Cricetulus griseus: one gene and its partner. The protein of the gene in region 1 purifies or fractionates together with the protein of each later gene. This does not show direct contact. Links are inferred from orthologs where the notes say so. Each region holds a gene or a part of one and is shown on either strand. Other genes may lie near its edges. The genes, in order: Vps4a and Zfyve19.

What was found.
Region 2: the proteins of Vps4a (region 1) and Zfyve19 purify together in Homo sapiens (affinity purification with mass spectrometry; 3 studies listed by BioGRID and IntAct, counting the BioPlex papers as one, with this or other methods). This does not show direct contact. The link is inferred for Cricetulus griseus from reciprocal best matches to the Homo sapiens genes VPS4A and ZFYVE19.

The regions. Positions count from the first base shown.
Region 1 is NC_048596.1:183,344,457-183,348,964, forward strand, and holds the start of Vps4a (vacuolar protein sorting-associated protein 4A), read left to right. Parts: upstream 1-1,668; 5' UTR 1,669-1,846; coding exon 1,847-1,867; intron 1,868-4,508. UniProt on the Homo sapiens protein: Involved in late steps of the endosomal multivesicular bodies (MVB) pathway. Recognizes membrane-associated ESCRT-III assemblies and catalyzes their disassembly, possibly in combination with membrane fission.
Region 2 is NC_048599.1:59,277,400-59,281,743, reverse strand, and holds the start of Zfyve19 (abscission/NoCut checkpoint regulator), read left to right. Parts: upstream 1-1,400; 5' UTR 1,401-1,626; coding exon 1,627-1,680; intron 1,681-3,076; coding exon 3,077-3,198; intron 3,199-3,364; coding exon 3,365-3,415; intron 3,416-3,747; coding exon 3,748-3,866; intron 3,867-3,958; coding exon 3,959-4,104; intron 4,105-4,344. Other genes in the region: Dnajc17 (dnaJ homolog subfamily C member 17), read right to left, coding at 1,188-1,265. UniProt on the Homo sapiens protein: Key regulator of abscission step in cytokinesis: part of the cytokinesis checkpoint, a process required to delay abscission to prevent both premature resolution of intercellular chromosome bridges and accumulation of DNA damage.

The DNA of each region.
Region 1 (4,508 bases):
CCCCTATGGATGGCCTCACCCTTCCTGGGGAGCAGAAAGGGTATGGGATGGGTAGGGTGTTAGTTGGGGGAGGGCAGGGGAGGAGGGGAGGGAGAAGGACCTGGGATTGACATGTTAAATAATTATCTTTCTAATTAAAATAATAATAATAAAAAGAATTCTGCCTGGAAGCCCGGTGTTGATGGCAGACGCCTTGGGGGGCAGAGGCAAGTGGATCTCAGTGAGTTCAAGGCCAGCCTGGTCTACAAAGCGAGTTCCAAGACTTCCAGGACTGTTACACAGAGAAAACCCTGCCTCAAAAAACAAAACACCCCCACCTAAAAGAATGTGCCTGGAAAAAAAAAGAGAGAAGAAAAAACATTTTTCACTGCGGTGGGTTAACTCAGTGGTATTGCTGAGGGGAGGGCCTAAGTTCAATTAAAAGTATCACAAAGGGCTGGAGAGATGGCTCAGAGGTCCTGAGTTCAATTCCCAGCAACCACATGGTGGCTCACAGCTATCTGTTATGAGATCTGGTACTCTCTTCTGGTGTGCAGATATACAGGGAAGTACAATGTTGTATACGTAATAAATAAAATCTTTTAAAAAAAGTACCACAAAAACAAAACGAACAAAATAATAGTTTCCTAAGAGAAAGGTTAACTAACATTTTGAAATAAACATTTACATTTATAGATTTGGGTGGGTGGGGAATATGGGGCTCAGAGGGCAATTCTAAGAAGTCAGTTCTCTCCTTCCAACCTGGTGAACAACTGCTTTTACTTGCTGAGCCACCTCTTTGGCCAGAAAGGTTGACACTTAAAAACTAGCACAGAGGTTAAGAGCACTGGCTGCTCTTCCTGAGGTCCTGAGTTCAATTCCCAACAGATGGCTCACAACCATCTGTAAAGAGATTGGTGCCCTCTTCTGGCCTGCAGTCTCACATGCAGACACAACACTATACATCATAAATAAATTTTAAAAATAAAACCTAGCACGCCTTTAATCCCAGCACTCGGGAGGCAGAGGCAGGCGGATCTCTGGGAGTTCAAGGGCAGCCTGGTCTACAGATAGAGCTAGGGCAATGCAGGGAAACCCTGTCTCGAAAAACAAAACAATAAGAATAAAACTATCACAAAACTGGCGAAGTCATGAGGTAAATACTAATTATCATAACCTATTAAATAGCCAGAAAACACAGCTCCAGGAAGTTAGATTTACTTTTCTGGTGATATTAACTCCAGTGGGGTCCTGATTGTACTTGGTCCCTGCCCTCCCTCCTCCCCCTCCCCTCCTCCCCTCCTCCTGCCCTCCCCCTCCCACTCACCCCCTCCCCACTGCCCCCGTCCTCCAAGCCCCGCCCTTCTCCGACCCGCCCCACTCTGAATCTTGGAAGCACAGCCTTTGGTTCAAAGGCTCACAGCGTGGCCCTCGTCTGGCCCCGCCTCTTATCTGGATCCCACCAGGCCCCGCCCCCTTTGGCCCCACCCCTCATGCAGGCGCCCCCACCCCTAACCTCATCCTCGCTCAGCCCCGCCTCCTACTAAGGTATTATTAGGCCTTCGCCTCGTCCCTCGTCCGGATCCCACCAGGCCCCGCCCCCCGACCGCCCCCTCTCCTTGGAGGAGAGGTGCCTGCAGTTCCGGGTCATGGCCGCTGGGTGGCAGCCGCGTGGCTCTGGCTGGGCCGCTCTGGGCCGCGCTTCTCGCTCACCCTCGGACTAGGCTCCGGCTGCTAGTGGCAGTCGGTCCCGCACCGAACGCCGACCCGCTGGGCTCCCAGCGCCTGACCCACCACCTCGGCTCCTCCGGGTCGGACCGAGGCCGCAAGCAGCGCCGCGGGGTGTGGGGCGAACCCAGGAGATGAAATGACAACGTCAACCCTCCAGGTACGTGGGCGCGGCACGACCGCGGAGGCCGAAGGCTGCAGGGCCTGCGGGCCGCTGAGCGGGCGGGCTGCGGCCTCCTCGGAGCCCGGCCTTGCGGTCCCCATAGGGCCGCCTCGTCCCACCAGTGCTGCAGCCTCTCCCATGCTCGGAGTCCAAGGGATGTCTCCACCGGGCCCCGGCCCAGGGCGAACCGGCGTGGCCCCGAGCCCGCTACGCGCAGCCGGGGCTGAACTGCCGCCTTGCAGCGGTGCCGCCTCCCCAGGTCGCTCCGGGAACGCCGTTCACTGGCTCCTGCAGCGCACCCTGGCTGCCCCCTGACCTTCTGCCAACGAGCCCCCTGTTTCTCAGCCAGCCACCCCTCATTCATTCCCTAGATCATGCAGGGCGATCCTGGGTGGCGCCGCCCGAAAGAAGGAAGGGCTCATTCTAGAGCTGTCAAAAAGCGTAAACACATTCAGGCCCCAGGCTTGTGTTTAAATCCCAGCCCTGCCACTCACTAGCGTGCCTGGTTTTTTGATCTTGGAATGTTGGATTTCCTCATCAGTAAAATGGGCAGTGCCCTTGTAGGGTGGTTGTCAGACGGCTCCAGACTGAATAATTCAGAGGAAGCATTGTAACATAGGTTCAGCACATCATGTGCTCCGTAAGCCTTTGCAAATAAATTCAGCGCTTGGGCAGAACCAAGTAAGACTTCATGAAGGAAGGGACTTTAGCCAGAGCATCGAGAGTGGGTGGCTTTCACTTACCTGTTGTTGGGGGTGGGGGGGTGGCTGGCTGCTCCAAATGGAAATACAGGAGTGGGAATCAATTGGGAGTACAAGGTTTGGAATTAGATGGAATCCAGAGCCAGAACCACCATCCACCGGCAGAATTCTTATCTGTTTACTAGGGATTAAGCCAACTTCAGCCGGATCCCACCTGCCTGGCCAGTGTTTCACTGCCTGTGAACCAAGAATGTTTTTTGTGCCGGGCTGTGGTGGCACATGCCTTTAATCCCAACACTCGTGAGGCAGAGGCAGGTGGATCTCTGAGTTTGAGGACAGTCTGCTCTACAGAGTGAGTTCCAGAACAGCCAATACTAAACAGAGAAACCCTGTCTCAACACCCCCCCCCAAGAAAGAGAGGAGAGGAGAGAGAGAGAGAGAGAGAGAGAGAGAGAGAGAGAAGAATGTTTTCGGGCATTTTTGAAACATTTAAAAAATTATCTTTATGTTTTATGTGCATCGATTGCCTACATGTATGTCTGTGTGAGGATGCTGGGTCCCCTAGAACTGGAGTTACAGTTGTGAGCCACCATGTGGATGCTGGGAATTGAACCCAGGTCCTCTGGAAAAGCCTTCAGTGCTCTTAACCACTGAGCCATCTCTCCAGCCCCGAAACAGTTTTATGTAGATAAAACACTGGTGCTATACATTTAAAGCTTACCATCCAATGCTTTTGGAGGTTTGTATCATCACCAAAGAAACTATGATGTTAGCCATTGTTCCCCAGCCATTCAGTCCCATGTAGCACACTTGTCTGTGGAGTTGCCTATTTTAGACACTTTTTTTAAAAATGTTATTCTGTGTTTGTATACATATGGTGTGTGTGTGTGTGTGTGTGTGTGTGTGTGTGTGTGTGTGTGTGTGTGTGTGTATACTAGTATGCCAGTGCCAGCAAACCCATTCCCATTCCACTGCCTGTGGGGAGGTCAGAGGATAACTTCAGGGGTCAGTTCTCTCCTTCTGGTTGTTGAGCTCAGGTTGTCAGGCTTGGTAATAAGCAGTTTGTTTCTCTGGAATTTCTTTTATAACAGCAGCAGTAGATTCTTCCCCAGGGCCTGTGATTCCCAAGTCATGTGATTCTGACCAGATTTTCAGTACCAGGCCTGAATTCCTCCAATAGATAGAGCAGGCCTCAGATCCAAGCCTACATAGTTAAGTACCCCCATAACCTCTGTGCCACTGCTACACCAGTGAGCACAGCTTGTCTGGCAGGTCAGTAGTGTAGCAACATAGCTGACTTTAGGGATACTATTGATGTCTTTTCTCACCCAGGGACCTTCATAGCACCTTCTAGCACTATGAAAGCTAGTCGGCAGGGCTGTCAGCTTGGTTTCTATTTTATTTTATTTGAAACAGGGTCTCAGTATGTAGCCCTGGCTGGAACGTGGCTATGTGGACCAGGCTGACCTCAAACTCACAAATACCTACCCGCTTCTGTCTTCCCAGACCTGGGCTTAAAATTGTGTAATACCACACCCAACTCACACTTGATTGTCTTTGTCCTGAAATCAGGCAAGCCCCTTTCTTTACCTGCTGATCCATCTTGCTGGCTCAGGTATTTTGGTTTTTCTTTTTTTTTTTTTTTTTTGTGTGTGTGTGTGTGTGTGGTGTGTGTGTGTGTGTGTGTGTTGTTGTTTTTTTTTTTTTTTTTTTTTTGAGGCAAGATTTATCTGTGTAGCCCTGCCTGACCTGGAACTCACTTTGTTGAATTCAGTGATCTGCCTGCCTCTGCCTCACAAGTGCTGGGATTAAAGGTGTGCGCCATTGACCAACTGAGATTTTCTTTAAATAAAATCATACAATGTGTGGCTCTCTGTGACTGACTTGGCTGGCTTAACTTAATGTCACAATCTTTTACATTGTTTAAATGGTTTGGA
Region 2 (4,344 bases), on another chromosome or scaffold:
AATAAATATAAATAAATAAAACAATAAAAAGGGAGTAACTCAGAGTGGCTGGGGTTAGGAGCATAGCTCAGTGGTATAGCATTACCTAACAGGTAAAAGAATCTATGTTTAGGGGGCTGGAGAGATGGCCCAGACTGTTCTTCCAGAGGTCTTGAGTTTAATTCCCAGCAACCACATGGTGGCTCACAACCATCCGTTATGAGATCTGGTGTCCTCTTCTGGTGTTCAGATATACATGGAAGCAGAATGTTGTATACATAATAAATAAATAAAATCTTAAAAAAAAACAGGCTAAAAAAGAGTCTACGTTTAATTCTCAGCAATGCAAAATGAGTAAATGCATAAATAAATATCCTAGTTGAGTGGACAGGTGGTGGTGGCATTTACAAACATAGTGAATTCCAAGGAGGGTACAGGTTTGGGCAGGAAAGTTCAAGTGCAATTTTGGATACTGGAAGATTAGGACTCCCGTGAAACATCCGAATGGAGAGATCAGACAGGTGGACTCATATTTTTGGAATTCAGAGAAAGAACTAAATGAGAGTGAAATGTAGTGCTGGTGTTCCTCAGTATTATTGAACTGTGCAGGACCTGAGCCATGCAACAGGGGGCCTGGCTTTCAGTCCTCCTCACAATTCTGTCACTAAGATCCGCCTTCCTTCTCCCCTTGTTTAACCCGCTAAGTAGCACACGCTGGGAGGAGCAACACTGGAAAATCTGATATTTAAAAAGCGGAAAAGAAAACCGAGCTCTCTCGGTACTAGGTCTCAACGCCAAATCCAAGAAGGAGAGGCTGAGAAGGGAGTGAAGAACCTAAAGAGCTAACTTCTCTTCCCTCCCAGGACCAACCTGAAGCTAAAAAAACTGGTTTAGGAACTGAAACGAAACATCTCCACACATAGGTAAGACTGCTGCTGCGCAGGCGCAACGAAGCAGGCCCGGCTCTCAGATTCGAACCGGCGACCACACACTGTGGCCTAGGAGAGCGCAGTCAGTCACACAGTTCCGAGTCCTCAGTGCCACCCTCCCTAAAGAGGTCCTTTCTGGAAAAGCCCCAGGCCCCCCTTTTAGGCATTAGGCCGGTACTCGCTCCTGGTCCGGTATATATGGGCGGAGCATAGGGAGCCGGGACCAGGCGCCGGCCAGGCGCGAGGACCGAAGATCCGCAGTGCCTCTCGAGTTCTCACCTCTTTGTCTGCCGCCTTCTCCTCAATGCCAAGCAGCGCGTATAGATCCATCTGTAAGAGCTCTTTGGTCACCGCCATGGTTCCAGCCCTGACCGAACTGATACTACAATTCCCAGGAGTCTGAGCGCGCGCGGGGAGGCGGTACTGGCTCGGAGCCGGCCCAAAGGCGCTAAGCCCCCTGGGAATCGGCGTGATCCGGTTCAGGTTTGACTGACTGTGGATGAGCGTGTCGTGAAAAATGAACTACGACTCCCAGCATCCCACACTCCGCCGCCGCCCGCGCGGTGGCGAGCGGAGAGAGTCAGAATTCCCCGCGCTGGGCCGCAGCTGGATGGCGCAGGTGGGCGTGTAGGGCTGGGCTGCCTAGGCTGAGGGTCGGAAAGGCCTTCACTGCGTTGGTGAGAGGCGATCCTACGAATCGGCGGCGCTGAGAGACGCCATGGAGAGCAGGTGCTACGGCTGTGCAGTCAAGTTCACCCTCTTCAAGAAGGAGGCGAGTGTTCTAGAGAGCTGGAGGGCCAAGGAAGGACGCGGGGCGAAGGGAAGAGCTCGGGACTTGCAGGCCAAAGACCCAGTTTGACTGCTTCTTTCTAGTGGTGTAGTTTTGACGAAGTAACTCAGTTAACATTTCTGTAAAGAGGGGCGTATGCCCATTCGCTTTCGGGGTTAAAACTATGGTATGATGAGGTCCAGTGAGATGGCTTTGCGGGTAAATGCACTTACTGCTAAGCCTGATGACCTCAGTTGGAACCCCAGGAAGGAGAGAACTACCTCAAGTTATTCTCTGATCTCCACACACGTGCCATAGCATGCACATATCTACACACACACACACACACACACACACACACACACACACACACACAAAGAAATATTGTAAAATTGAAATAATTGTAAGGGGGGTTGGTAAGGTGTGGACCTGAAAGTACCCTATAAATTATAAAGCTTATTGCTGTCAGTTTCCAAAAGCTACGCCTTTTTCTTCTTTTTTACCAACAAGTGGAGCATCTACCTCCTGCTTCTCTCTGCTCTTCTCTTCTCCATCTCTGTCTTTACTATCCTAGGGCCGCTGCGCATCACACCATGCCCGTTACTCTCAGGTTGTATTACGAAGCTTCCACTTTCCCCTGGGCACAATGGAAAAGCTTTCTTGTTCATGACACAGGCTTACCAGGTTCTCCTTGCAAGCTTCCGGGGAGATAGAGGGGAATAAATGGGATGAGTTCATGGTGTGCAGGACGGAGCACCTCAGAGCATGCATTTGGAGTCAGGGTTCAAATCCCAGCTGTCCTGATTTACACAGTTAAGACCTAAGTTTAACAAGTCAGGTAACTCTCTGCCCCCTGTTAGAATAGAGATACTGATGTGGGCATCAGGATCAAATATGACACTGTGTGTAAATTATGAGGTTGGATCAGATGATGAATTTTAAGGTTCAAGCTGTGTGCCTGGTACACACTAAGCACTTAATAACTGAAGCTATTGTTAATGCCCTTATCCTGAGCCCAACCTCCCACCATCTTGCCCGAGCAGAGAAAGCACAGTATCTACACTCTGTCTGATTCTCTTTTGTTGACTAGCCAGTGACCTGACTCACAGAGCTTTGTTTGTCTTTGTTCTTCACCCCCATGGTAAGAAACTAAAAATGGCAGAAAGCATGTGAGTTTTGCCTGAAATTTTATCTGATCGGAACAAGACTCTGGAAACCAAGGGCTTGTTGTGCCCTCTACTCCATCTCTCCCTGGACCCTGGGGATCCCACTCCTCTTCCTTCCTCCAACATCTGGTCACAACTTTAATTTCTTCTTTCTGTGAGTGCTTAGAGAGTCCCAGAGAAGAGCCAACAGGGGTGGGTGAGAAACGGATCCTCCTGCTTCGTGTTTCTTATAGTATGGCTGTAAGAACTGTGGCCGGGCCTTCTGTAGCGGCTGTCTTAGCTTCAACGCTCTGGTACCTCGGGCTGGCAACACTCAACAGAAAGTCTGCAAGCAGTGCCACACAGTCCTGACCAGGTGAGAGATGGGCATGGGCAAGGGTTCAGACAGATGTGACACTAAGCATCTGACCAGGCCCTGTGGCCTTGTGCTCCCTGGCCAGAGGTCTGCCTAGGAAGTATTTGGTGTAGAAATCACTGCTGGGTGGCATGATGGGACTTCTCACACCAAATTCCTTCTCTAGAGGGCCTCCCGACAATACCTCCAAGTGGTCGCCACCTCAGAACTACAAGAAGTAAGTACTGAAAAAAAGACAAGTGGGGATGGCAAAGGACAAGGACACCAGTAGCAGGGCTCTCCTTCCAATCTGCAGACCACATGGGTGCAGACCTTTGGGCTCCTGCTTCCCTCTTGGATTCTGAAAGCAGCTCATTAATCTGTTCTCAGAAAAGGCATCTGGGAGCTCTTTCCCTGTTAGACATACCCTACAGCTGGTCAGCTGGGTTGGGCTGCAGTACCACATAAATAGAGGTCACAGAAGACTGCCTGTAGAGGCCCCAATTGATTTGGATGGGTGCCTTCAGTCTTCCCCTTTGCCTTAAGAGTGTCTGCCTCATATCCTCCTAGGCGTGTGGCAGCCTTGGAAGCCAAGAAAAAGCCCAGCATTTCCCAGAGCCAGGGCTTGACCCAACAAGACCAAGCCATCGCTGATCGCCTAGCACGGCTCCGTCAGGAAAACAAGCCCAGTGAGTTTAAGTGTACAGGGGGACCTCAAAGGCAGGGTGCAGGGCTTGGGACTGAGCTGCCTCCAGCCCTTACAAACACTTGCCAATTGCAGAGTCAGTACCCTCACAAGCAGAGATAGAGGCACGGCTAGCTGCCCTGAAGGATGAAGTCCAGGGCGCCATCCCTTCCACACGAGAAATGGAGGATCGGCTTGCAGCATTACAGGGCAGAGTACCACCTTCTCACACCGTGAGACCGGTGAGTGTTGTGGCTTGGGAGAGAAGGGTTTCCTAGGGCAAGCTCCCTACAGAAGCCCAGATACATGTATGATCATGTGCTTTGCAGGAGTTAGTAAAGCCTCTCACCCCTACCTCCTGAGCCTTAGGCCTGCTCTCAAGCCAAAGACCAGTGCCAAGCAGCAGGACTGAGTGCGTCAGCAAAGAGTGGATACTCAGTCCTGTTGGGAGCTGCCAACCTACTCACCTATGTGGACCTTGA